Linked DNA regions of Oryctolagus cuniculus. The protein of the gene in region 5 purifies or fractionates together with the protein of the main gene of each other region. This does not show direct contact. Links are inferred from orthologs where the notes say so. Each region holds a gene or a part of one and is shown on either strand. Other genes may lie near its edges.

Region 1 (3,298 bases), on a different chromosome or scaffold from region 5:
CTGATAAGCAAGTTCTCCCTCCTGAACTTCCACAATACAGCTCTCTGGAACTTAAGAAAAAAAGGGGTGGGGGCCAGGGAATGGATTAATTGGCTTCTTCTCTTTAGGTGATGCCGCATGAGGCTACTAAGGGAGCCGGAGCTGGGTTTCCTCTCGCCAGCCCACAGAGCTCTCAGAGCAGGCTTCACAGACACCTCTCTACTTGGACCCGCAGTCTGCAGTTAACTGGCAACAAGCCTGAGAATCTGGTTCCGCAGGTAGGTGCACAGCTGGTTCATCAAATCCCTGTTCTGGCCCTCAACCCAATGCATTTCAACTAAGGCATCGCCCACTTCCTTCTTAACGTTGATGAGACACTTAAACAGGTACTGTGCAGCCGCTCCTGGCGGAGGCCTGCCTGTCTCAGCCCCAGGGCTGCTCAGCTGCTCAGGAGCCTCTGGGTCCTGGGCCCCGTGGCCAGAGCCCCTGCAGCTCTCCACAGCCTCCGGCCCTCCTTTCTCCTCACTCCGCTCTTCCTCCATGGGTTCTGGGTTTCCTTCCTGGGAAAGTGACTCCTGGCTTGCGCAATGGCCCCCAGCAGCAGCAGGCTGGCGTTCGTGCAGAGCAGGCCCACCTGGGGCACTCTCCCCAGGGCCCTGCACCCCGTCCTGGCTGCCGCCCCCAGACTCCCTGGGGGTGGACTTCTTCTCTTCCAAGGCCTGGATGACATCTTCAGGAGCTCGAGGAACTTCTCTCAGTTGTCTCACGCGCTCTCTTTTCTTCCTCCTTAAATGGATCCAGGAATTTTCTATGGCTGTTAGGAACAGGCTAACCTCCTCCTTCCCACAGGGAACTCGCTTATGCTGCACCTATTGAGGAAAAACACATTTCACAGGAATTCACTTTTCTCTTCTCCCCAGACTCCCTGAGAACAAAGCAGACAGAAAAGGAAAAAGGGAGACCAACACGAGGCCTTCGCTGGTGGCTTCACCAGGTACCTTGAGGTCGGTGAGGATTTTTTCAATCCAGGTCGTCACCACCACTATGCCTTCCACCGTCTCCGCCCCGAGGGACGAGGCTTTCAGGGACAGTTCCTTCATCACAGACTCCAGCACCACAAATGTAATGGGTTTCCGCGGCTTCTCTAGCTTCCTCCGCTTACTCGGTGGGGACTGAAAGACAAGGGAAGGCAATGAGGAGAAGAAATAGTCCCAGATAATTAAATCCTGTGCATCTCTGGCCTCAGAATCAGCCCTTAAGGCATTCAGATCTGGCTGAAGAGCCCATGAGAGTATTTTAGGCATGGAAAGCCAAGACACTCTGGCAAAAAAAAAAGAAGACCTAAATGAAGTTCTCTGCGAGTGAGATCCCAGTAGAAAGAAAACAGGGCTATCAAAGAAGGAGGTACTTTTCTCTGAAGGGAGGAGAGAACTTCCACTTTGACTATGACCCTGTTGGAATAAGATCGAAGTCAGCGAACTCAAAAGGCTTCCATAGCCTTGGAAACTCATGACTAGAGCCTAGGGAGATTACTGACGCCATAAACAAGAGTGTCAAATTGTTAAGTCAACAACAGGAGTCACTGTGTACTTACTTCTCATGTGGGATCTGTCCTTATTGTGTTGTCCAATGTGAAGTAATGCTATAACTAGTACTGAAACAGTATTTTACACTTTGTGTTTCTGTGTGGGTGCAAACTGATGAAATCTTTACTTAATATATACTAAATGGATCTTCTGTATATAAAGATAATTGAAAATGAATCTTGATGTGAATGGAATGGGAGAGGGAGCAGGAGATGGGAGGATTACGAGTGGGAGGGAAATTATTGGGGGGGAAGCCATTGTAATCCATAAACTGTACTTTGGAAATTTATATTTACTAAATAAAAAATAAATAATTAATTAATTAAAAAAAAAAAATCCTGTGCATGACAGTGGACTTGTCCAGGAAAGGGTCCATGGCTTCTGCTACCGATCATGGAGCCTCAAAGCCACAAAGGCCTGTCCGTGTGACACAAAGGCCTGTGCGTGTGACATAAAGCCGCCAGTGAATCACAGCAGGGAGGCCCAGGGCCACGCAAACTACGCCTCCAGCTGGAGAGGAAAGGCCAGCACTGGCGAGAAGAACGGATCTGAAAGCTGCTTCCATGAAAATCAAGATTCACATTTTCCTTTCTATTTCAAACTTCGAAGGTGAACAACACCCACTAGAGGGACTCAAGTTCCATTTTAGAAACCAAATCACACCAACTGTATTTAAAATTTATGTAAGTAAAAATTCCTAAATGGTACTTTTTAAAGGAAACAGCTCTTGGGTAAGACCACGTGTATTACAAACACTGTGCTAAGATGGATTTGTACTTGCTCACAAAACTTTTTTTTTAAAAGATTTATTTTATTTGAAAGACAGAGTTACAGTGAGAGAGAGAGAAGTCTCCCATCCACTGGTTCATTACCTAAATGGCCACAATGACCAGAGCAGGGCTTATCTGAAGCCAGGAGCCAGTAGTTTCTTCTGGGTCTCCCACATGGGTGCAGGGGCCCAAGGGCTTGGGCCATCCTCTGCTGCTTCTACAGGTACATTTGCAAGGAATGGGTTGGAAGTGGACAGCTGGGACTCAAAATGGCACCTATATGTGATGCTGGCGCTGCAGGCTGGGGCTTTAACCCACTGCGCCACCCCCTCACAAAACTTTTTTTTAAAAAAGGTTTATTTGGGGGCCAGCACTGTGGCGCAGCGGGTTAATGCCCTGGCCTGCAGCTTCGACATCCCATATGGGCGCCGGTTCAGGACTCGGTTGCTCCACTTCTGATCCAGCTCTCTGCTATTGCCTGGGAAGGCAGTGGAGAATGGCCCAAGTCCTTGGGCCCCTGCACCCACTTGGGAGACCTGGAGGAAGCTCGGGCTCCTGGCTTCAGATCAGCACAGCTCCGGCTATTGCAGCCAATTGGAGAGTGAGCCAGTGGATGGAAGACCTCTCTCTCTCTCTGCCTCTCCTTCTCTCTGTGTAACTCTGACTTTCAAATAAATAAATAAATCTTTAAAAAAAAAAAAAAAAGGTTTATTTGGGGCCAGCATGTGGCATAGTGGGTAAAGCTGCCACCTATGGCACTGGCATCCCTTATGGGTACCAGTTCAAGTCCCAGCTGCTCTGCTTCTAGTCCAGCTCCCTGCTCATGTGCCTGGGAAGGCAGCGGAAGATGGTCCAAGTGCTTGGGCCCCTGCACCCACATAGGAGACCCGGAAGAAGCTCCTGCCTCCTGGTTTCAGCCTTGCTCAGAACTGGCTGTTGCAGCTATCTGGGCAGTGACCAGCA
Region 2 (3,500 bases), on a different chromosome or scaffold from region 5:
AATACAGATGGAAATGCCATGGCTAAACTAGGTAAGACGGGCAAAATTAAAACATCAGTTACTATATTAAGAGGAGCAGAGGAGAGGGAGAGAGCAGAGAGCTTCTATCTTCTGGTGTACTCCTCAAATGCCAGCAATGATCCACCTAGGACCATAGCTGGGAGCTGGGGCCTTAATCCAGATCTCAAACATGGGTTGCAGGGACCCATTCATTTTATCCATTAGCACTCCCAAGGTCTACATTAGTAGGAAGCTGGAGTCAGGAACTGGGGAAAGGTATTACCTCAGGGTACTTGTCTTAACCACTAGGATGAACTCCCACCCCTACTATCCTTTATTTCAATCAATATTCCTTCAATCCAAAAGACTGTTACAGAAGCTAAACAATAACATATCACTCTGTTTTGACCTTACCGAACAATTTTATTACAAATAAATCAATGATTGTTTTCACATTTAAAACAGTTACTTGGATGCAAGGCTCTGACCTAATTCAGAGATAAGGCCAAGAGCTTAAGCAGACATGTACTGTAATTGCTTCGCTATTCAGTTATCCTTTAAAAACCCTGCATCAGCTCTCAACTTGGTTTGCCCCTGCCTCGGACTCCATCTCCCATTATATAAACCCAAACCACCCTTACTTTATCTTCCTGAACTCATCACAATCACAGAGGATCAAATTCATATGCTTGTCAAAAGCCTTAAAGGTGCCAATGAAGATTCGGCCATCTTGCAGGATACATCTCATTCTATAGTCAATGTGCTGTAGCATCTTGCTACTCTTGCCCACAGTCTAGAATTAAGAAGATAAAGTCAGTGATCAGCTTGCCCTTGTCCATTTTCTAACCTACATCCCTTTTCTAGTCTACCATAAATTTATCTTATCTTTTTCTCCTATATTCCTCCACATTTAATTTATTGGGCCAAATCTGAACTTGGAACCACTAAACTCCTCTAAAAAAGGTTCCCATCATAACTAAAACTTTCCCCAGAGATCCACGAGCCTCGTTTCTTTATAGAGCTGAAATTTTAATCTTACACCTTTACCTGTCTAATCTTAAATCCTATCTTGGAACACAGCACATTATCTTGTTGACAATTTCTTTTACCCTGGACAAATTCCTACTTCAATTAAAACTTGTCAAGTTCCTAAGGTACCATAACATGCAGACATGTTGTATCTCTATTTTTGCAATGTGACACTGGATGACCAAGCATTAAGAAGCTTATGACTGTTAACAAATCCTAGCAATTTTAACCCCTTTGGGAATGGTATCAATCATTTGATAATACATGCTCTAGACTGAGAACCACAGAACTCTGTGGTTAGGATGCTGGCTGGTTTATGCTCACTTGCTCCCTCCCTTTGCCAATTGTTCTCCTGTGTACTAATCAAGCCCTTCAAGTTTTGAAAAAGCTTTCCACATAAAGTAGTCTTTATGTCTACTATAATCTGACCTAAGAGTCAAGATAGTCCCCTAATAACAATGACCAAAAAACTGCTTCTGAATTTTCTCATGTTCTAAAACACCTCAAGATGGTTTTGAAACCAATTTGCAGTAATTAACAAGAAAAGAAACATTGCTAATCCCTGTTTTTTTTCAATGCATTTAGAATACATGTCTACATATTTATTCAAATTTTCAGAACCCAAAGGCACCCACACACAACTGCAAACTACTATTTGATGCCCTTATAACAACTTACCACCCCCCCATCTTAATACATAAACATCTTACCATGATTGCTGTTCCACCAAATTCAATGTCCAAAGTAAAATTTCAGGACCCTTAAGACCTAAGGGAAGGCTATAGATAAAGGTATGATGGCAGGTTCTCCTAGAAACAATGCAAGCTGGGCAGAAGCTTCACAAACAGTAGATGGAGCCTGCAGAGGAAAGCATGTTACAGCTGCACTACAATCTACCATGTTTTAAAATAGGCAGACAATTTTGCACAGATATCACTGCAAAACACATTCAAAAAATCCTTTATCCCATGACTCATTCACTACTCCTTCATCTTTAATTCCCACATTCGACATAGCTAGCACTGATGAAACTCACTAAATTATATTTTACCAGTAACTTTCATTTAAACATCTCAAAATTTTACTATTCTTCCTTTCTACCTTTAAGGTTATTGCTTTACTCCCACACCTAAAATTAATTAAGTATCTCACGTATTTATAACACAAATTATTCCTGAGTTAGTTCAAGATTTTGTTGTGGGGCCAGCACCCTGGCTCACTTGGTTAATCCTCTGCCTGAGGCGCCGCGCCAGCATCCCATATGGGCGCCGGGTTCTAGTCCCGGTTGCTCCTCTTCCAGTCCAGCTCTCTGCTGTGGCCCAGGAAGGCAGTGGAGGATGGCCCAAGTGTTTGGGCCTCTGCACCCCCATGGGAGACCAGGAGGAGGCACCTGTCTGCTGGCTTCAGACCCATACAGCGCCGGTTATGGTGGCCATTTGGGGAGTCAACTAACGGAAGGAAGACCTTGCTCTCTGTTTCTGTCTATAAATCTACCTGTCAAATAAATAAATTAAAAAAAAAGATTTTGTTGTTGATACTTTTTGTTTGAACAACCTAAATATTCAGCTGTAATATTCTTTCCTTCCCAAAGAGCACCTTCAAATGTAGTCTTCCCTCACCTAGAACCAAATGTATTATGAACGTGCTTAAGACTTTCTATGTCAAAGGCTGATACATAACTACTTAACAGAAGCTCATTGACAGCTTTCTTGTTTATCAAAGCGTCATGCATAACAAATTAACATTTTCACCATTACTTTTTGTAAAAAAAAAAAATGCTATCAATATGGCAATCAAATTTAGCCAGCATCTTATTCAGTGGCTGAAACTGCTGATGGTACAAAGAGACACAAATTATATTATTTTTGAGTAGGAATTTGGAGTTAAATATAAAAATAGAATCATATTAAAAGCTAAATTCCACTAGGATTGTTCTTCACTGTTTCCAATAGATAAAATTTTGAAACAGCACATTAAATGTTAGGTATATTCTGAGTACTTCATGGTTTGAAAATAATCATTAAAATCATGACTATAAACTACATGAACACCAAAACAATAAAGTAAAATAAGTTTTGAGCACATATGGAATTTTATGCCAACATATAAAAGAACATAAAAATACGTGATAACTCTTTCCATAAAGTTCTAAGATGTTTAAGGGATGTTTCCTATAGTTCTAGAAGCTTAATTGCAGTAAGACATTCCATGAGATCTTGAGAGTTCTTAGATCTTAAGATCCAAGAAATCCCTAACAATTTTTCAGTATACCCAACAACCTACATTTTCCACATACAAGCTTTCATGCATTCTTTTTAAAGTTTATGGTAAACAATCTGCTTATTCCCTCAATATACTGTCTATACTGCTCTGTAAGACGACTGATAACAGATTATACTATCTATGTACCTACTTATATCTACAGAAATGGCATCAAGAATACTCCAGTGCCCAAGATCCAATGTTTGTAC
Region 3 (4,196 bases), on a different chromosome or scaffold from region 5:
AACAAATACATTCCATTTGATTTTTAACCCTAACTCAGTAGTTATCAAAGGATCAATGAGGGCTGGTGTTGTGGTTAAGCCTCCACCTGTGACACTGGCATCCCATATAGTCGCTGGTTCGAGACCTGGCTGCTGCACTTCCAATCCCACTCCCTGCTAATGGGTCTGGGAAAGTAGCAGAGGATGGCCCAAGTGCTTGGGCCCCTTCACCAACATGGGAGACCCAGAAGAAGCTCCTGGCTCCTGGCTTCAGCCTGGCCCAGCCTGGCCCAGCCCCAGCCATTGTGGCCATTTGGGAAGTGAACCAGTGGATGGAAGATCTCTTTCTCTCTCTTTCTCCTTTTCTCTCTCTCTGCCTTTCAAATAAATAAAAAAAATGAATCTTAGAAAAAAAAAATCAATGAAACCTGTGGAAGAAACAAACTCTAAAAATTACTTCTAGCTTCCTTTTGAGCAAATCAATAAAGACTGGCATATAACATTAAAACAAGACTAGGGTAGGGGCAGGAGTTTGGTGTGGTGGCTTGGGACACCCATGTGTTCGTCAAGTCCCAGCTCTACTTCCAATCCCAGGGGATGATGGCTCAAGGATTTGGGTCCCTGTCATCCACATGAGACCTCAATTGAGTTTTAGGCTCCTGGCTTTGGCCTGGCCCAGCCCCAGCTACAGTGGGCATTTTGGAAATGAACTAGCAAATGGACGATCTCTGTCTCTATGGTTTTTTTTCTGCCTTTCAAATAAAAATAAATAAATGAATTTAAAACAAGACTAAAGGGCAGGTGTTTGCTGTAGTAGGTAAGACCCTGCTTGCAGGGCAGGTATTGTGTGCTACAGCAGGTTAAGTCACTGCTTGAGACATCTGCATCCTGTATCAGAGCACCAGTTTGAGTCCCAAATACTCCCCTTCCAATAACAGCCCTTTGCAACATGCCTGGAAAGCAGCAGATGATGGCTCAAGTGCTTGAGTTCTTGCCACCCACATGAGAGACCTGGATGAAGTTCTTGGCTCCTGGATTCAGTGGTGGCCCAGCCCCAGCCCCTGCTTTTGTGACATTTAGGGAGTGAACGAGTGGATTCAGAAGATCTTTCTGTCAGTCTGCCTTTCAAATAAATAAATGAATCTCTAAAGAAAGAAAGAAAAAGACAAGACCAGCTTGGAATGCCTGGGTTTGAGTCCTGGCTCCACTCTTCATTCCAGCTTCCTGATAACTGCACATTTTGGTAGGTTGCAGGTGATGGCTTGAGTACTTGGACCCCTACCATGCACTTGAGTCCATTCTCCAAATGCCCACAATAGTCAGGACTGGACCACACCAAAGCCAGGGGCCAGGAGCTCTATCCAAGGTGCCCACACGGGTCTCAAAGACCCAAGTACTTGAGCCATCATCTACTGCCTCCCAAGATACGCAACAGCAAGGTGGACTGGAAGCAGGGGCGAGACTCAAACACAGGCACTCCAGTATGGCACACACATGTCTCAAGCGGCAGCTTAAGCTACTGCAGGACAGCACAGTGCAAATTCTCCATTGCATTCTACAGGATCTCTGTGAGAAGTCGTGATGAAAGTACTCTCTCAGCTTGGGAAAAAAAAATGCCCTCACTTTAGATGTTCTCTTCTCAATCCCTTTTTACCTGTACCCTACTTTTTAATTCATCACAGAAAATAGTATTATAAAGGACTCTCCCACACAAATCTTTGTATTCAATGCAAGTTAGTATAAAATGTCACCATTAATCATGTCTATATTTTAATCTAATCCCTAACTCTCCAAATTCCTCAGGAGCACAAAGATTTTATTTCTAATGTTCTTCACAGTGCCTAACAGATGGTCAATAAATGGTACAGACCCCTACTCCCAAGCTAATCCCATCATTCACAAGCCCTTGGGCAAATTAATTCCCATAAGCCCCTGTTTACTCAAATACTAAGTGTCAAGCAATGTAGAAGGTGCTGATACAAACAGCAGAGAACAAAATACAATCACCCTGGCTGTAACAAGGGCCTACATTCCACGAAAACTCCATCACAGGCCAGAAAGAGTAAGCAATTTGAAAACCAAAGCAATAAACGGAAGAATCTTTATTTTCAGATGAAATGTGTGCCCAAGCGCTGTACTAACAAAAGTGTATTCAAGTTCAACCTAATTCCCTCTGAGATGTTAAAAAAAAAAAAAAAGTTTCCAACAGCAGCCTTTGCTACTGACCCAATGCTCCATAATAACGGCTGGTGGGAGTGGGGGCGGGGAGAGCTGGCGTGCAGAAAGGGAGGCAGGCAGAATGACTGCTCAATGAGCAGGCAGCAGAATCCAATCTTCTTAAAGGATTCCCTACTCTACGCTCTCCTTTGCTGCAACCCGAGTGCTCCCAGGAGCCCCCCTCCTCCTGTTTTTACTCTCGCTCTCTCTCTCACCGGCCTCCTCCCTCACCTTGTTCTGTCCAAACTCCTCACCCCAGAGCTGCTCTCCCCAGCCTGTCCCCGTCCCGCCCCCGCCCTTTTCCTCTCAACAATCTCATTCCAATCCGTTCTCTCCCGAACCGTGTGCTTCTCTCAGCATCCTTCCCGCTGGACCCTTCACCCTGTTCCTCCCCTCGGACTCAGCCCCGGCCCCAGCCGCTCCGACGGGAAGACACCCTCCCCGGGCCCGGGGCCACTACTCACCTCACAAACTTCAGCCCCTGAGACGGAGCCCGAACGTTACACCGGAACCGGAAACCTTCTGACCGCCCTACGGCCTGCCGTCGCTACCGCCACGGCCGCCGCCACGCTGCGGTCCCCTGACACGTGACCAGGGAGGGGGCGGGCCGTCGATTTGCGCAGCCGCAGTTGCCGCTCTGGCGACAGCGGAGCGCATGCGTGGCACAGCCCTAAGGTTTCCCCGTCCAAGTTGCTGCTGGCCTTCGGTTTCTACAGGGAAAAAAGATTACGAAGTTGGCGTAACTTTAGGTGGTTTTCAGTTTAAAAAAAAACGCAAACAAAACAATTTTTAGTTTTCTTCGTGTGGCGGATAAACGCTCTAAAGTTACAGGACTAAAAGGAGGACTTGTTTGTGCGTGCTGAAACGTGGCCTTTCTGGTAGAAAGTAAACCCTCTCGGAGTCCTGATCATCAGCTTTAGTCGCCCCCCAGCCTTTTCTAAGTTAACAGTGGGACCGGAGGTCATTCAGGAACAAGACAAGGGTAGGAAGACTCAAGCAAGTAGCTTCTAATACCTTTTTATTGTTAGATTCATTCATTGACGGAACAAATCTTTATCAACTGCCTACTAATGTGTGCTGGCCACTTGAGAGTATTGCTTTAGTGATTGTCGCGAATGCCTGCTGTCACGCAGCTCGACAGGGCTTAAGGGCGAGGTGTCGGAGCACAGGGAGGAAGGAACACATGGACACAAGATTGTCTTTCCAATGAAAGGTTTTTATTGCCCACACAATTTCACACTAGGGCTTGACCACTCTGCATACCAATCTACATTGTTATATTCAGTACTCCACAGATCATAACACACACCTAGCAGTCTCAAAGGCAATCCAACTATAATAATATAAGCACATAACATTATTCTTAATCACAGGGTCAAGGCACATGCCTTCATATTACACACGGCTAATATCATTATAAGTGCTGCGTCCTCAAGGGTCGTATCACGGTCACCAAAAGTCAAAGTCCAAAGTCCAGAGTTCAAAGTCTTCGTTACCACTCGGAGAGATGGATCTCAGGACAGTCAGTTACAGGCAGGAAGTTTGGGGATGGCTGTCACTCTGGGCAGTAGGTTCAGAGGGCAAGGCAAGGAGTTGGAGAGGTCCCCTGCTGAGAGGTCTGGTGTTGGTCTGGCAGCAGCCAATAACGGGTCCGGGTGAGGCGGCCAGGCAGCGGCTCCGCTGGAGTTTGGTCCCGTAATCGCCTTGCGTCACTTAGCAAGGGTGCTAGCAAGCTGGCTCTTCAGCTCCAGATGTGTGGAGATCCAGAGGTTCACACACATCGGGCCATGATCCTCGAGAGCGGTGGAAAAGGCTCTCCTTTATCCTTGCCACTCTGAAGGGGGAGTCTCCAGTAGGGGTCCGGGTGTCACCAATCAGTTGTGCTCCCTCTTGGAGTTTCCCGGGGTGCCACCCATCCGTTGTTTGGGACAGGGCGTATCTGGAGTATTCCTTGGGTGCGGTCACTCACAATGTGAGTAGGAAGGAAACTTGAGGTTATC
Region 4 (3,442 bases), on a different chromosome or scaffold from region 5:
AACACAGAGATAAATGTTCTTAGGGAGTAGTGTCACACTCCATGGCTGCAATTTCATAAATCTAGGTTGATCCTGACTCACTAGTGGACCTCAGAACTCTACAAAAACCGGGTCACTGTGAGCTTGATTCTAGGTTCAAGGTCTCTGCGAGGGATCTTTATTCCTTCTTCAAAATCCTACAAAAGCTCTACACAAGTCCTTTTAATAACTGCAGCAGAAAAATATAGCCCAACTGACATATTAGCAAGCATAACTTAGAGGAAAAGTTACTCTTTAATCCCTAATAATTATGATACACTTACTATTCACAATTCTTACACATGACATCACAATGAAATATGTATTATCATCATTCCAACTTTACAAATGGGGAATCTGAAACAAGGACACAAACATCACACTACCAAGAGTGGGAGGAAGGGTTCAAACTCATACCCTCAACTACCACCCTGTGCTTCTGTACAAAGGATCTTCAAAAAGTTCATGGATAATGTGTATTATTTTTTTTTTATTTAAGACCTTTATTAGCAGGTGCTTGCAGTTTGTTGACTTTTTTGAAAAAATCAAGTTGTAAACTTTTATTACAAATTAAAAATGAAGTTCTTAAAAATCTCAACTTGACCAGATATGAAACAATTTAAAAACCTTTAAAGGTGTATTGAGAAAAACCAGGCTTTTTTAAAAAACACGTTTGTCGTTACCAAAAAGAGACATCTTTAGGTAAAAATAATAAAAACCCCATGCTGCATAGATAATGCAGATAGTTCTAGTAATCTGGTCAATGGGCAAAAAGCAAGCACTTAAGGTCTTCAGCTCCAATCTTTTGTTCATTTCTTATTGCTGGAATTTCATATTCATTTCTTCTTGTTGGATGACTAAACCGGATGATGGTAGAGATGTTAAGCCGGCATTTACTCAGCCCCGCCCTGCTCAGCCTCGGGAGCGGACGAATTCTCAGCTGGTGGATCGGCTGCTTTTGTCTCTTTGCCATCTTGTGGTTTAGGGTTATCTGGGCGTCTGCGTCAGTAGTTGAAGTTGCGGCGGTACCAACGCTGAGGTGGCTGCTGACCCTGGGTCTCATCTCCTTGGTTTTCCTTGTCTTCTTCATTGCCGTCCTCTCTAGGCTGTCTTTGGCGAGGAGGACCTCTGCGGAATCGTGGTCTATAACCCCGATACATATTCTGTCTCACTGGTCTACCTTGTTCTCCTGCACCCTGGTTGTCAGCACCTTCCATCACTTCTCCCTGCACAGGAGGGTTGGAATACTGTGGTCGACGCCCATAGGGTCTCCGCATGTAGTAAGGTGGGAACCTTCGCCTGCGGTAGGGCCGGCGTTGTTGGGCCTGGCCTTCGGGAGCGCTCTCCGATCCCTCATTCTTTTCCCCACTCTCACTATTCTGGTAATTCTGCTGGTAATTGCGTGGAGGACCCCTACGACATGGGTAGCGTCTATAATGGTTACGGTCTGCTGCATATTTACTGCCTTGCACTGGAACTCCACCAGGACCTGTAACATTTGCTGCCTCCGCACCCTTTTCTCCTTCAACAACATCAAACTCCACAGTCTCTCCATCTCCTACACTGCGAAGGTACTTCCTGGGGTTATTCTTCTTTATGGCAGTCTGGTGTACAAATACATCTTCCTTGGTGTCATTCCTGTTGATGAAACCATATCCGTTTCTTACATTGAACCATTTTACTGTTCCCAAAACCTTCGTTGCGATGACCTTCTTGTCCCCGCCGGCGGGCGCCGCCAATGTGAGGCTGCCCAGGCCACCGCTCCCTGCGCCGCTGCCCGTGGTGCCGGGCTTGGTTTCCACGGCGCTGAGGGCGGGGGCGGCGGGCGGCTGCTGGGTCTCGGCCTCGCTGCTCATAGTTGCGGTGATGGTGACTGGGGCCGGCTGCGGCAGCTGAGGCTCCTCCCGGGGTGTGATGGTAACTAGGCCGGCGGTGGCGGTGGGGCTGCTCAGGGCTCTCTGGGGTCCGCTCTCCGCTCCCGCTACCGATCGAACTATGTGTATTATTTTTAAAAACATGCATTTCAAACATGTTTGTACCCAGATACTTCTCTTTAAATTCCACTTTCCATGAACTTTGAGGTTGCCTCATACAATGATTTATCTTTAGTGCTCTTCCATTTTAAGTATCAAAATATCAGCATTATTAATAATCCTACACAACATTAATTCTATTTCTAAATAATCTACTACTGTTTCAGCCTACTGTCGCTCCCCCTCTTCATGGAGGAACGACACTAAACCCTGCCTAGGCTTCATATCCGAGTCACGGCACCATTATGTCGCTCCCCGTCTTCGTGGAGGAACGACACTAGACCCTGCGCTGTTCTTTTGTCTGCTCGGCCCTCCCCGGGTTTGCTGCTGGTTCTTCCCAGGTTGGCTACCGTCCCTCCCACCTCCGTGGAAGGGCGGTTCCCCCTGCCACTTTCCCCACTTCCGCGGGGGAGCAGCACACCGCCAGCCGGCTCTCTCGGGGGCTGCACAGGTGTTCCTCTTAGATGTTCCTGGTGCATGTTGTCTCTCTCCTCCTTTATAGTCCTCTTCCACCAATCCCAACTCTGCTACCCACACGCCGAGTATGCTGCTCTCCTCCAATCAGGAGCAGGTCCTGCTGTTTATTGGTTGAACTGGAGGCAGCTGAGTAGAAGCTGTTTACTCCTCTCCCAGCGCCATATTGTGGGAGAGCAGATGCATAGAATAAGTCTTAATTCCAGTAACAGTCTAGTCTGAGTTGCTCCCCACAGATCCCCCTTTCTTTTTATTTTTTGGCGTTGATACGCGCCTGTCTTCGGTGCCCCGTGGCACACACTCTGCTCTGCTTGCTGGAGTTGCCCACAGGTTCTTACAAGTCCTATCAATCAGGCAAACCGAATCCGGGTCCTCTCTTCGCCATGTTGTGAGGTTTTTAGGCGCTGATGCGTGCCTGTGTTCGGTGCCCTGCAGCGCATGCTCTGCTCTGCTAGAACTGCCTGCAGGTGCTTACAAGCCCTACCAATCAGGCAAACCGAATCCAAGCCCTATCATCGCCGTCTTGTGGGGAGACTTATTGGTGTTGATAACGTGCCTGTCTTCGGTGACATGCAGCCGCTCACAGGTGCTTATCGTCTTACTAATCAGGCAGACCGAATCCAAGCTCTCTCATTGCCGTGTTGTGGGGAGGCCTTTCTATTTCTCTATCTCCAGGCATTCCTATTTCTCCTATTTTACTTCTATCTGCCAGCATTCCTATTTCTCTCATTTTACTTCTATACTTCTATTTCTCTTATCCCTGCGGCATCCCGGCGCCCGCCCCGAGGCTGCTTCTTGGCACCTTGCCCCGCAGCGGCTTCCCGGCTCTGTGCCACTTCCCGGCTTCGCGCATGCTCCGCGGTCTCCGCTCCCCTTCACACCCGTACCACAGCCTTGCGCTAGCCCCACGTTCCCTA
Region 5 (4,086 bases):
CTTTCTTTTCTCCCTGTTGGCAAGGAGACCGAGCTACCCATCACCCTGGGGAAACGGCTCCATTCCTCATTGGCCGAAGCTGGAAGTCCAAAGAGGGGCCGAATCGTCTTCCCCGCCCACACCCGCTTTTATATAAGGCGGCGCGAAGCCTCGGAGTGCGTCCGGGAAGGCCTGCTTGCGAGCTGGCGGCGGCCACGGCGGCTGCGAGGGGCCCCGCGGGCCCGCGGTCTCGCGCGCAGCCGCCGTGTGGCGGGCGGAGGACTTGGTGTCAGGGCCGTGGGTGTGGAGGCGGACAGGAAGGCGTGGTGTGCCCAGGTGATCGCGATTGGGGCAAACGCCGAGGAGCCAAAGAACGACTCAGCCATTTCAGGGGAAGAGGAAGTTGAACAACACCGGCTCTCCTTAGTGCCTTTTTTTGTTTTTTTCCAGTTCAGCAGAGCGTTATTTTCGAGGGGGGTGAGTTCACATGACCTATCGAATTGTACTGAGGACGGTCAGGGCGCCTCCCATTCTCCCCTTCCGCGACTCCTCAATTCACCCCCTCAGCGCGCTCAGCTCTTAACCAGGTGGGCAAAGCGGGGCCCAGGAGCGCGCGCGCGCACTCGTGAATAATTCATGAGGCCCGCCCCCGAGCCCGAGTCGCGCTGACGCACGCTGCGTGCGCCGACCCTGAGGGAGCGACGTACAGGCCCCGCCCCTAGGCCGGGGGTGGGGCGTCGGCCCAGCACGTGCTACCTCGACCCGCGCAAGCCCAAAAGCGTGTGCGCAGGCGCTGCCCGCTAGGGGGAGGAAGGAGGCGGGGTAGGGAGGTTGTTGGGTTTAGAGCCGGGCGGAGACCGCTGAGACTCATTCCTCAGGAACAAGGGTCGGGTGTCAAGGAGACCTTTTCACACCAGCTCCCCGTCCCCCGCCTTCGGTGGGTGGGGTCGCGCGGCAGAGACAAAGGATATCAGTAGGGAAGTAGGGTGTCAGTTTGGGGTGGTGGGCTTCTGGGGGAGGGCCGAGGAGGGGGGGCTATATTTAAACTCGGGGAGCCGTTAAGTTGGGTTCGTACTCCGATGCGCGCGCAGCCAGGGTGGTGGCGGAGTGCGCATGCGTGGCCCCGGGGCTAGGGGAACGCGCGCTCGCCGTGCGCGCTCGCGGCCGAGCGGTAGTGGTGGCGGAGAAAGGGGTCGGCGCACGCGCGGTTGATTCCTCGAGTTGTTCGGGTCTCGCGGGCATCTTGTTTTGGTCTCGCGGGCGAGTGGGGCGCGCTTCAGGGTGGGGGGGAGGAGGCGCTTGGGCGCGAGACCCAGCGAGGCGAGCAGAGCTGCGCGCGCACCCGGGGAAACGGGAGGGGGAAGGGAGCGGGGTCTAGCCAGGCGGGGGCGGGGGGCTAAGCCCCCGATCCCCACCTCGTTACCCTCGAGTGGGACGGAGTAAGGGGAGGAAATGATCGAGATGGCGGCGGAGAAGGAGCCGTTTCTGGTGCCGGCCCCGCCGCCGCCGCTCAAAGAGGAGTCGGGCGGAGGGGGCGGCCCCACGGTGCCACCACCCCGAGAGGCCGCCTCCGGGGAGCCCCGCGGCGAGCCGGAGCGCGGCCCGGGCCGGAGCGCGCGCTCCGCGGACGCCCCTGCCTCGGCAGCCGGCAGCGGGAGCCCCGGCGCCGCCGCCACCCCTCAGGGCGGCCCCCGGGCGCAGCCGCACGGGGAGGCCCGCGTGTCGGATCCCCACGGGCGAGCCGCTCCCCCGGATGTGGGGGAGGAGCGCCGGGGAGGGGGCGGGACGGAGCTGGGCCCCCCTGCCCCTCCTCGGCCGCGTAATGGCTACCAGCCCCACCGGCCCCCTGGGGGCGGCGGGGGCAAGAGGAGAAACAGCTGCCACGTCGGGGGCGGCGGTGGGGGCTTCAAGCACCCGGCGTTCAAGAGGCGCCGGCGGGTAAATTCGGACTGTGACTCCGTGTTGCCCTCCAACTTCCTCCTCGGGGGCAACATCTTCGATCCGCTGAACCTCAATAGCCTTTTGGATGAGGAAGTGAGCCGCGCACTCAATGCGGAGACCCCTAAGTCATCCCCACTGCCCGCCAAGGGCCGAGATCCAGTGGAGATCCTCATCCCCAAAGATATCACTGACCCGCTCAGTCTCAACACTTGCACTGATGAGGCTCAAGTAGTTCTTGCTTCGCCGCTCAAGACTGGTCGGAAACGGCACAGACACCGGGGACAGCACCACCAGCAGCAGCAGCAGCAGGCGGCGGCGGGTGGAGGGAGTGACAGCCACTCCGTGCCGCCCACCGCCCCCCTCACCCCCTCACTCCACGGGGAGGGCGCCGCGCAGCAGCAGCGCCCGAGGGGCCAGAACCGGGATGCCCCCCAGCCCTATGAACTCAACACAGCCATCAACTGCAGGGATGAGGTCGTGTCTCCCCTTCCGTCCGCCCTGCAGGGCCCCTCAGGCTCCCTTCCGGCCCCTCCCGCTGCCTCAGTTACCTCTGCACCCTCGTCTTCCTCCTCCCGGCATCGCAAACGGCGCAGGACTTCCAGCAAGTCTGAGGCCGGGGCTAGGGGTGGAGGCCAGGGTCCTAAGGAGAGGGGCCGCGGGAGCTGGGGAGGCCGCCACCACCCGCCACCTGCGGCAGCGTTTAAAAAGCAGCAGCGCAAGTTCCAGTATGGGAATTATTGCGAGTACTATGGGTACCGCAATCCTTCCTGTGAGGACGGCCGCCTTCGTGTGTTGAAGCCCGAGTGGTTTCGCGGCCGGGACGTCCTAGACCTGGGCTGCAACGTGGGCCATCTGACCCTGAGCATTGCCTGCAAGTGGGGCCCCTCGCGCATGGTGGGCCTGGATATCGACTCCCAGCTCATCCACTCTGCCCGCCAGAACATCCGACACTACCTGTCCGAGGAGCTGCGGCTCCCAACCCAGACTTCGGAGGGAGACCCCGGGGCAGAGGGGAAGGAAGGGACTACCACCGTCCGGAAGAGGGGCTACTTCCCAGCCTCGCTGACAGCCAGCCGGGGTCCCATCGCTGCACCCCAAGTGCCCTTGGATGGAGCGGATTCATCCGTCTTCCCCAACAATGTTGTCTTCGTCACGGTAAGAGGATCTGAGCGACTCTTGGAGTAGAGGCCACGTATGAAGATGAGCTTAAATGTGGCAGGGGCAGGTTTTGACCCTCCCCCCGTGAGATTTCCGCGCATTCAGTCCTTGATAGGAGAAGCAGATTCTCTAGGGTCTGTACTCTCCCTTGGGTGTGTCTCCCGCAAGGAGCAGTTGGGGCCTCTACCTTGGGTCTTTAACCCCGGGGTCCTTTCTCAAGACTGGAAGATCTCTTGCCTGAGAGAGATTGACGGAGTGCTGTGTGCCTGGCCTGGTCTGGGCTAATCCAGACTAGTCCACCTTCCCTTGAGGGCCACTGCTGATCCTTAGGAGACTCTGTTAAGATGGAACCTCAGCCCTGCTGAAGCAGTGTGAGGGGTGGGTGTCGGACGTGGAGTGCCTTGGGGGGAGATGAGGTCAGTAGCAGGCTAATATTTATAGTTTCTGTCTTTCACTTGGGACCTTGTTTGCAACTGCTGCCTTTTTTTTTTCCCCAAGATTTATTTATTTATTTGAAAGGCAGAGAGAAAGATCTTCCATTCGCTGGTCCCTCTGCCCTCCCCCCCCCCCCAGGGGCTGCAACGGCTGGGGCTTTGTCAGGCCAAAGCCAGGAGCTTCATTTGGGTGTAGGTAGCAGGGGCCCAAGCACGGGAGCCATATTCAGCTGCTTTCCCAGGTGCACTAGCAGGGAGGTGGATTGGAAGTGGAGCAGCTGGGACTCCAACCAGCGAATGGAATGCCAGCACCGCAGGAGGTGGCTTAACTGCCACAACAGCTGTTTTTTGTTTCTCCAGGTAGAGTTGGTTAAAGATTGTCAGTGGTCAGGATCCCAAGCAACTTGGCTTTTACCTCTTCTCCATGTTGACCCTAGATAGAGGGAGAGCATAGTCCTACACGGGACTGGACCATGCCTGGCGAGTGTTGCTCCCCATCAAAAACTTTAGGCCATCTGCAGGAATACTTGGCAGTAGGTTGAGTTAAGCCTGAAGAATGGGCTTTGCAGAGGGC
Region 6 (3,500 bases), on a different chromosome or scaffold from region 5:
AGCTCCCTGCCCAGGGCTGGCCCTGTGGGGCTGGCGTGCCAGGCGCGGCCGGAACAGCACGTCTTTTTCTCTCCCTCCTCCGGCAGGTGTTCAGGTACAGCACCGCTCTGGAGAAACACAAGCTGTTCATCTCGGGCCTGCCTTTCTCCTGCACGAAAGAGGAGCTGGAGGACATCTGCAAGGCTCACGGCACCGTGAAGGACCTCCGGCTGGTCACCAACCGGGCCGGCAAGCCCAAGGTCAGCGGGGGGCGCACGTTCTGGCGTGGGTTCCCCGTGATGATTCAGTGGCAAGGAATGCACACTGAGTCTCCTTCCCTGTGGAGGCAGATACTTTTTTCAAGATTAATTTGTGTATTTGGAAAGCAGAGTGACAGAGTAGGGTTGGGAGAGGAGGAGAGAATGAGAAAGATTTCCATCTACTGGTTCATTCCCCAAATGGCTGGTCAGGCCGAAGTCAGGAAGTCCATCTGGGTCTCTCATGTGGGTGGCAGGGACCCAGGTGTTTGGGCCATTGCTGCCTCCCGGGCAAGGTAGCAGGAAGCAGAGTAGCCCGAGTTGAAATTGGCACTCAGGTGTAGGGTGCCGGTGTGTTCTGAGCAGTGGTTTAACTTGCTGTTCCATGACGCCCGCCCCATGCGGAGTCAGGTGAAACTGTTTGCAGCTGTGTGTATTACAGAGGAATAGGCATTTAGAAATTAAATTCATCACAGATTCCTAAGCGCCGCAGTGTGGCCCCCTGGCTAGAGGCCTCGGGGAGGGGGTCCCTCTGCTGTGGTTACCGCTGCTCTTCCTGAGGCCCTCACTGGGCCACCTCGGGGCCTCGAGTGGACCCCTTAGCACATCCTCCCCTGCGGCCCACTCCTTTCTGCTCCACCTTTCAGCAGTTACTGTTGAGACGTGATTCTGGACCCCCTCTCACTCCCTTGCCCGCGGCCCAGCCATGCAGGTAAATGAAGAGTTAGTTGAGGAGTGTGACGGGAAGGCGGGCATGGAGGAGCAGAGACCTCGGCGCTCCCCTGGGCACCAGGGCTGCTCCCCGGTGTCTGTCCCCAGCCCACCTCCTCAGTCTGTTGGCTGGACTTATGCTGGTCTGATTGTTACTTTCATTTTTCTCTTGGGGAGCAAGCTCAAGGTGATCTGAACTTGGCTCCTCTGCGCTGCAGTCACTCCCGGCAGCGGAGGACAGGAGTAGGGAGGGAAGTCAAGCTGTGGACAGGGTGGCAGCCGTGGGGAGGGGAGCCAGTTGATGAGGTGCCTGCGTTGCAGAGTGAGGAGGAAGCTGCTCCTGGGTGTGCGGCAGCTCACCTGGCTCTGATCATGTCTCTTCCAGGGCCTGGCCTACGTGGAGTACGAAAACGAATCCCAGGCGTCGCAGGCTGTGATGAAGATGGACGGCATGACCATCAGAGAGAACGTCATCAAAGTGGCGATCAGCAACCCCCCTCAGAGGAAGGCTCCAGAGAAGCCGGAGGCCAGGAAAGCGCCGGGTGGCCCCCTGGTGCCGCGGCAGATATACGGAGCGTGAGTGTTTGTGCTGGCCAGCGCCCGGCCATGAAGGGCTAGATGAGGCAACAGTTAGGTCCCTGTTGGTAAGAGGAGTTAGGACAAGAGCACATGGGCCTGCTATCCCGGCGATGACCCCGTGGTTCTGCCGGGCAAGGTGTCCAGGGCGAGTCCAGGCCAGAAGGAGGCCCAGGCAGCGGGGCCCTGCCTCGTGTTTGCCAGGTGACACTGGTCCAAGGTCAGATGTTTCACCGGCACTGATGACGTCACCCGCCCCCTGATGCCCGAGCTTGCCAGCCTGCGGCTGCGCTCCCTAGAGAGGCCGTGTCTTCTGCCCGACAGGAGCCAGGCTGCAGGGTGGTTGGAGAGGTCTCGGAGGTGACAGCCACTTCTCACCCCAGAGTGTGACTTGCTCAGAGTCAGTCCTGGCCAGTTAATGAAGAAGGCAGAGCTTCCTGCAGTGGCTTTTAAGTAACAGCCAGGTACAGGGACAGGCCGCCTCTGGTGGGTTTTCATTTTTCATCATGAACTTTGCGTGATGTGCAGGATCCTGGCTCTTCTTCACGGTACCGTGGGGGTTGCGGGTCAGTGCTTTGAAGTGTACAGTCAGTGTTTGCTTTTGCAGGCGGGGGAAGGGCAGGACCCAGCTCTCTCTGCTGCCTCGTGCCCTGCAGCGCCCTGGTGCCGGGACTCCTCAGGCTGAGAACGGCCCTGCCCCACGTCCTGCCAACGCCGCCCCTGAGGCCACAGAGGCGCCCAAGATGTCCAATGCCGATTTCGCCAAGCTGCTTCTGAGAAAGTGAGCGGACTCTGCGGGAGACGGGAAAGGCCTTCTCGCCGGCCAGTACTCCGGGGACAGAAGGGACTGGCCCAGTGCCCACCCACGGCCACGGGCTTTCCTCTGGGTCAGACAGAAGGGGAGTGTTCCCCGTGAAGCGGCGTCAGTGCTCCCTCACATTGAGGGCGACGGCAGGAACGTGAGCTCAGGGCGTGGCATCCTGAGGCACATGGGTGTCTTCCCGAGTGAGGAGCAGCTGGGTCTGGGGCAGCGTGGAGACCCGCTCGTCCCGACGCTCCCAGCCGGCCCCAGCCCTTTTTCTAAGTCACTTCTCTCACACCTGCACGGTATACGTGCCCATCACTCTTTTAATTTTTAAAAGATGGACTGGCAAATGCTAGTAACTCACCAGAACGGCCTATTTTAGGAAGGGGTGGGAGCAGGGGAGGCCACGTAGGAGAAGTCCAGTGGGTTTTTGTTCGGGGGCTGTGTGTTTTTCTATTGTGTTTGTAAATGACACCTCAGCCTGTGGTTTCGTTTCCTAAAAGCAGTATCCAGATGTTTGTTTTATACCTGTACCGGAGGCCGTGTGCCACCTGCCGCGGGCCACTTCCTCTGCCTGCCGACTGGCTTTTCTTGTCTAAACCCTGAGTTTCAGCTCTTTGGTTTTGTTGAAACACCATGTCCTCCCCGTTTAGCTTTGTTTATTAAACAGAAGTTCTCTTAAACTCTTCTTGCTGAGTGGTGCTCAGAACCCTTCCTCAGGGCGGCCTGTAGCTATAAATAGAACTTTTCTAAGTCAAATCTCGTGGTCATTTTGATTTAAATTATTTCTGCTGTGATGGATCTTCAGTTGTAAACTTCAGTTTGATGCTTGAGTTTTTAAACTCTCTCACTTTTATCAGGGACTTACGGCTTTGGAAGCAGCCTTGCCAGTTCAGTAAGGAAGCTGACGTTCTAGAGGCACCGAGCTTCTTCTTCGACAGTATTTTTATTATTTGACAGGCAGAGCGCGAGTGCCCTCCCCTCTTCTGATTCAATCCCTACAGGCCCATAGTGGCTGGGGCTGGGTTGGGGCTGGGAATGCAGTCAGTCTCTCAGGTGGGTCTGGGCGGCCAGCTGTCTGTCTGTCGAGCCATCGCCTGCCAACTCCCAGGGTCTGCACTGGCAGGAGTAGGGAGCCGGGAGCCAGGTTCTCTGCTGTAGGACTGACTTGG
Region 7 (4,142 bases), on a different chromosome or scaffold from region 5:
TTTTATACTGGAGTGTAGAACAAGCTCAGAACCAACAGAAACTAAAGGGAAACCTGAGTTTCTTTCTAATCAAAATAGCCACATTAGCCCCACTGCATCCACAGCACATTTTACTTCCCAAGATCACCTTCCTGTCACTGGCTAGGATTTTATTGGGGTGGGATGGGAGGGGGTAAGAGGATAGAACGGGCTAATTACAGTCAGCAGCAGATAAAAATTGGACAGTTTTTGCATTCTAAATTTACCTGATTAAATCAGGTCAAGCTTGCAGGAATGTTGTGGCATTAAAAAAAAAAAAAACCTTCATAGGTTAACTTAATTTCAATCTTTGTCAGATTGAAATTGTACAAAGATTTAAGGCAGGCCATTACAGCTTCAAGGTAAAGAAGCCACAATTTTTTCCTAAGTTTATCCTGCACTAAAATGCACAGCCTGTATATATGCATCAACACTGGATATGTATATCAAGTTATCTTACCATACCCCATAAATATACACAAACATTATGTGCCAAAGAAATGTAAAAGAGTACAGCCATCCATGCTTTACTTATACAGCCAAGGGACTCAAGTGCATGATACACAACTGATTTACAAAACCGCAACAAACCAGTTAAGTCACAAGAGACCCATAAATAACACTGCATCTTTACTGCACATAATTTGGGGCAGAAAGGTGTTGTCATATATTTAGTAACTGTTCACAAGAAAAAATCTTGGAGTTTTTCTTTAGGTTTTTATATTTTTGCAACACTAAGAAGGTTGTAAATAATAACTTCTTTAAAGCAGTCCTTTATCCCCAACGTTTTTTATATCTTTTATTTGAATTATACATTAAAGCAAAGGTTATATAATGGGATTTTTGTTCTAAGACATAGGACAAAAAAATACGCAAGTTGCCTATGACTATTGTAAAACACTTCCAATTATGTCACTTTAACTAATAGTGTCCCAAAACTTGTACTATAAAAAGAATGAAAGCAATCCAATTTATAGTAAGACTGGGAAGTAGCTGGAGATTTCCTCCCTACTCTGACAGGTATTGTTATGATCAACTCCAACCATCCAATCACTTCCAGAGAAAAGAGAAAGGTCACCAGCTCCCTGGGGCAGTTCCACACATTTTCTTCCACAAGGTTACCCAATGCATCCACCAGGATCTCAATCCTTTCAATTCAGGAAGTCAGGAGCCCAACATGTAGGCTCGTACGAGTATACAGCAAATCTACAAATATGCCCATCCACGGACTTAGTGGAAAGATTAAAATGTAATCCTGAGAATACAGGAGCAGTACAAGCCCAAACCAAGTTAACTTGTTTTAAATGCGCCAGATTAAAACTTTCTTCACTAGTTAACTATTAAACCCAACACTCGCACCAGAGGCTGCCCTCTTACTTCTGGAGCAGGACCAAGGCTAGATTTCCAGTTCTCCGGAAACCTACAAGCTTTAGTAATGGGTTTTGACAGAGCGGACTCTGACGGGTTCAGTTTATTGCTTCATGTTTTTATGCCGAAAAAGCCGTCAGGTAGCCCAATGACCTAAAGCTCTAACTTTCGGTGTGGCTGTGCAATTCCCAACTCCTCAGCACCCTCTCAGCTTCAAACGAAACACAAAACAAAGGGGAGGCGATGACTAGCAGGCGGGAGGGTGCTCCACAGGTAGCACGCGCGCAGTCAGCATGCGAAACCACTCACTTCCATCCACCACCTCCCAGGAACCAAGCCGGGCGGACAACCTCCCTCCCGCCAAGAACACGGCCACCAGAGGCGGCCGCGCTTCCCAGAAAGGCAGCAGAGGATGAAAGCCACCTGCCCCGGGGAGTCCCATCAAATACCGAACGGCAGCTTGCGCGACCAGGCAAGTGGAAACAAGGGATCAAACCCCGCGGCGCAGCACGGGTGCCGGATCGGGGCGCCCCCGGCAGCCTGGAGCCCGGCTCCGCCGCCAGCTCCTCACCCTGTTCTTCTGCGGCCTTGTCACCCGGCGCCTCGGATCCCGGCGTCTCGTCTCCGCTCCGCTCCTCGGGCTCGTCTTCCTCCCCTTTGCCGGCGCCCGGCTCTTCGCCACCGTTTACCCCACCTGACCCGGCCGTGGCCTCCGCGGGCTTTTCGGGAGCATCGGGCTCGGCCTCGGCCTCGGCTTCGGGCTGGGCCTCGGGCTCGGGCTGGGCCGCGGGCTCGGGCTCAGCCCCGGCCCCGGCCTCGGCCTCCATGGCTGCCGCCTCCGGAGGCTCTGGCGGCGGCTGCGCGGCCTGGCCCGCGGCCTGAGCAGGGGGTGGCTCCTCGTCCTCGTCCTCAAGCAGCGCCTCCTCGTCCTCGTCCTCCTCCTCCTCCTCCTCCTCGTCCTCCTCCTCGTCCCCGCCCGGGCCGCCGCCCGACGCGGCCACAGGCCGAGGCTCCGCCTTGCAGGCCCCGCCGGGCCCGGCCCCGCCGCCGCCGGCCTCGTCCTCGAGCATCTCGGCGTCCAGCGCCTCCTGCAGCCGCTGCGCCAGATCCACCTTGAGGCCGCGCGAGTCCAGGCCCCGCCGCTGCAGCTCCGACCGCAGCTCGGTCACTTTCAGCCGCTTCACCTCCATCGCCGCCGCCGCCTCCTCCGCCTCCCGCCGCCTCCTCCCCTGCGAACCGTCGACCGAGCCCGACCGCGCAGGCGCCGCCGCCGCCGCCCGCCTCCGCCTCACGCGCCAGCCCTGAGCCCGCGCGAGCGCACGCACGCACGCAGACAGCGCAGGCCGCGCGCGGTCCCCGCTGCGTAGTTGGTGTCGCCTTCCTCCTCCCCTCCCCCGCCTCGCCTCCCACGAGCCCAAAACAACGCAACGGGGAGCGGCCTGCCTCCCAGCCCCTAGTCCCCTACCGCCGGCGGGCGCGCGCGCCGAGGACGACGGAGTCCCGCCCCTTCCGCCCGCCCCCTCTTACCGCTGGGCCAATCGCCGCCGGAGGTTTTACCGCGCAGCCGCAGCGGAGCCGGAGACGGGCAGGGCTGGCGGCGGCTCAAGTGCCCTCGTAGCACGGAAGCGTGTGCGCGCCTGCCTTTCCGTACTTCCAGCGGGGGTCCTGCGCAGCCGCCCGCCCGCCCGCCCTCTCACCACCCAGCTTCGCGTCTCACTATTGCTGCGGCCCTTTAGGGCTTGCTCACCACCCCGTTCCCCTGCGGGGCCTGCAGCAGCTAAGCCAGGAGAGAAACTGTTGCAACAGGAAAACCTACTCGCAATTGTTTCTCTAGCGAGTCCGCGAGAGGACCCTCCAGGACCGAGAAATAACCGTAGCCCTCGGCCCTCCTAGTAGCTCAACGCCTCGATTTCTACCCAGCAACAGGAGGCCTAGCTTCGCCTTCCGCTCCCTCTCATTGGCCTGCTTGAATCGGCTCCTGCCGTTATGATTGGTCACCTGTGACCGTGCGGAATTTTCCAATTGGCGAACGCTGTTGGGGGGATTTTTTTTTTTCCGCGTCGAACTGCTGGGGAGGCGGAGTCGTTTCTGCGGGATTACTTTTCCGGAGCCGCTTCTGATTGGACGCTTTGGCGGATTGCGCGCGACCCTTTAGACACCAAACGGCCGGGAGCTCTGACCCTTTCCTTTCCGTGCTCCCAGCTGGAAAGCGGAAGCTGGGGGAGGGACTTCCGGCCTCGGGCGTCTGCAAAGGCCGGGGTGTCGGCGGCCTAGGTCGGTGGGCTTGCGTGGAGTGCGCTGCTACGGACCCCCTCCGTGCGGGCTGAGTGCTGGGGCTCTCGGACCTCGCGGCTCGCAGCACAATTACCAACCAAAGCTTGTTAAATGAGGACAAATAAAGCGGGCGTGCGTGCGTGCGGGCCAGCCCCGCGGATTTCTTGTAGCAGTTGTCCCCGCCTACTCCCTTGTACTTCCAGGTCGCGGGGGAGGGAGTGCGTCCGACAGAGGGGCGGCGGCGGAGGCTGGGCGCTCGCACGCCTGCCACGGTCCCTTAGTAGGGCCTTCCCCCCGACCCCGGGGTCTCCTCACCCCGCAGTAACCGCCTAGGCTTCGGCCGTGGCCGTCCCCACGTCCTCCCCCTGACCACCTGCTTGAACGGTTGGAGACTGAAAACTGCTGCAGGGAGCACAGGTGGAGGCTGTACAGAAACACGCCAAGCCCCCCTCCCCGGGGAAGCCCACCCGGGCCAGTCAGGC

The links.
Region 1: the proteins of MEPCE (region 5) and METTL16 purify together in Homo sapiens (affinity purification with mass spectrometry; 3 studies listed by BioGRID). This does not show direct contact. The link is inferred for Oryctolagus cuniculus from reciprocal best matches to the Homo sapiens genes MEPCE and METTL16.
Region 2: the proteins of MEPCE (region 5) and SNRPN purify together in Homo sapiens (affinity purification with mass spectrometry; 3 studies listed by BioGRID and IntAct, counting the BioPlex papers as one, with this or other methods). This does not show direct contact. The link is inferred for Oryctolagus cuniculus from reciprocal best matches to the Homo sapiens genes MEPCE and SNRPN.
Region 3: the proteins of MEPCE (region 5) and PRPF3 purify together in Homo sapiens (affinity purification with mass spectrometry; 4 studies listed by BioGRID and IntAct, counting the BioPlex papers as one, with this or other methods). This does not show direct contact. The link is inferred for Oryctolagus cuniculus from reciprocal best matches to the Homo sapiens genes MEPCE and PRPF3.
Region 4: the proteins of MEPCE (region 5) and Y-box-binding protein 1 purify together in Homo sapiens (affinity purification with mass spectrometry; 3 studies listed by BioGRID and IntAct, with this or other methods). This does not show direct contact. The link is inferred for Oryctolagus cuniculus from reciprocal best matches to the Homo sapiens genes MEPCE and YBX1.
Region 6: the proteins of MEPCE (region 5) and SART3 purify together in Homo sapiens (affinity purification with mass spectrometry; 6 studies listed by BioGRID and IntAct, counting the BioPlex papers as one, with this or other methods). This does not show direct contact. The link is inferred for Oryctolagus cuniculus from reciprocal best matches to the Homo sapiens genes MEPCE and SART3.
Region 7: the proteins of MEPCE (region 5) and HNRNPUL2 purify together in Homo sapiens (affinity purification with mass spectrometry; 3 studies listed by BioGRID and IntAct, with this or other methods). This does not show direct contact. The link is inferred for Oryctolagus cuniculus from reciprocal best matches to the Homo sapiens genes MEPCE and HNRNPUL2.

What each region holds. Positions count from the first base shown.
Region 1 is NC_091448.1:47,902,149-47,905,446, forward strand, and holds part of METTL16 (RNA N6-adenosine-methyltransferase METTL16), read right to left. Parts: intron 1,152-3,298; coding exon 978-1,151; intron 849-977; coding exon 222-848; 3' UTR 1-221. UniProt on the Homo sapiens protein: RNA N6-methyltransferase that methylates adenosine residues at the N(6) position of a subset of RNAs and is involved in S-adenosyl-L-methionine homeostasis by regulating expression of MAT2A transcripts.
Region 2 is NC_091443.1:13,815,089-13,818,588, reverse strand, and holds part of SNRPN (small nuclear ribonucleoprotein-associated protein N), read right to left. Parts: intron 1,888-3,500; 5' UTR 1,743-1,887; coding exon 1,740-1,742; intron 794-1,739; coding exon 642-793; intron 1-641.
Region 3 is NC_091438.1:47,654,645-47,658,840, forward strand, and holds the start of PRPF3 (U4/U6 small nuclear ribonucleoprotein Prp3), read right to left. Parts: upstream 2,801-4,196; 5' UTR 2,661-2,800; intron 1,125-2,660; exon of another isoform or gene 933-1,124; intron 1-932. UniProt on the Homo sapiens protein: Plays a role in pre-mRNA splicing as component of the U4/U6-U5 tri-snRNP complex that is involved in spliceosome assembly, and as component of the precatalytic spliceosome (spliceosome B complex).
Region 4 is NC_091434.1:59,357,003-59,360,444, forward strand, and holds Y-box-binding protein 1, read right to left. Parts: upstream 2,052-3,442; 5' UTR 2,037-2,051; coding exon 1,023-2,036; 3' UTR 501-1,022; downstream 1-500. UniProt on the Homo sapiens protein: DNA- and RNA-binding protein involved in various processes, such as translational repression, RNA stabilization, mRNA splicing, DNA repair and transcription regulation.
Region 5 is NC_091450.1:42,641,154-42,645,239, forward strand, and holds the start of MEPCE (7SK snRNA methylphosphate capping enzyme), read left to right. Parts: upstream 1-1,286; 5' UTR 1,287-1,431; coding exon 1,432-3,075; intron 3,076-4,086. UniProt on the Homo sapiens protein: S-adenosyl-L-methionine-dependent methyltransferase that adds a methylphosphate cap at the 5'-end of 7SK snRNA (7SK RNA), leading to stabilize it.
Region 6 is NC_091452.1:17,726,441-17,729,940, reverse strand, and holds the end of SART3 (squamous cell carcinoma antigen recognized by T-cells 3), read left to right. Parts: intron 1-86; coding exon 87-239; intron 240-1,332; coding exon 1,333-1,523; intron 1,524-2,130; coding exon 2,131-2,308; 3' UTR 2,309-3,011; downstream 3,012-3,500. UniProt on the Homo sapiens protein: U6 snRNP-binding protein that functions as a recycling factor of the splicing machinery. Promotes the initial reassembly of U4 and U6 snRNPs following their ejection from the spliceosome during its maturation.
Region 7 is NC_091432.1:8,851,251-8,855,392, reverse strand, and holds the start of HNRNPUL2 (heterogeneous nuclear ribonucleoprotein U-like protein 2), read right to left. Parts: upstream 2,801-4,142; 5' UTR 2,577-2,800; coding exon 1,958-2,576; intron 1-1,957.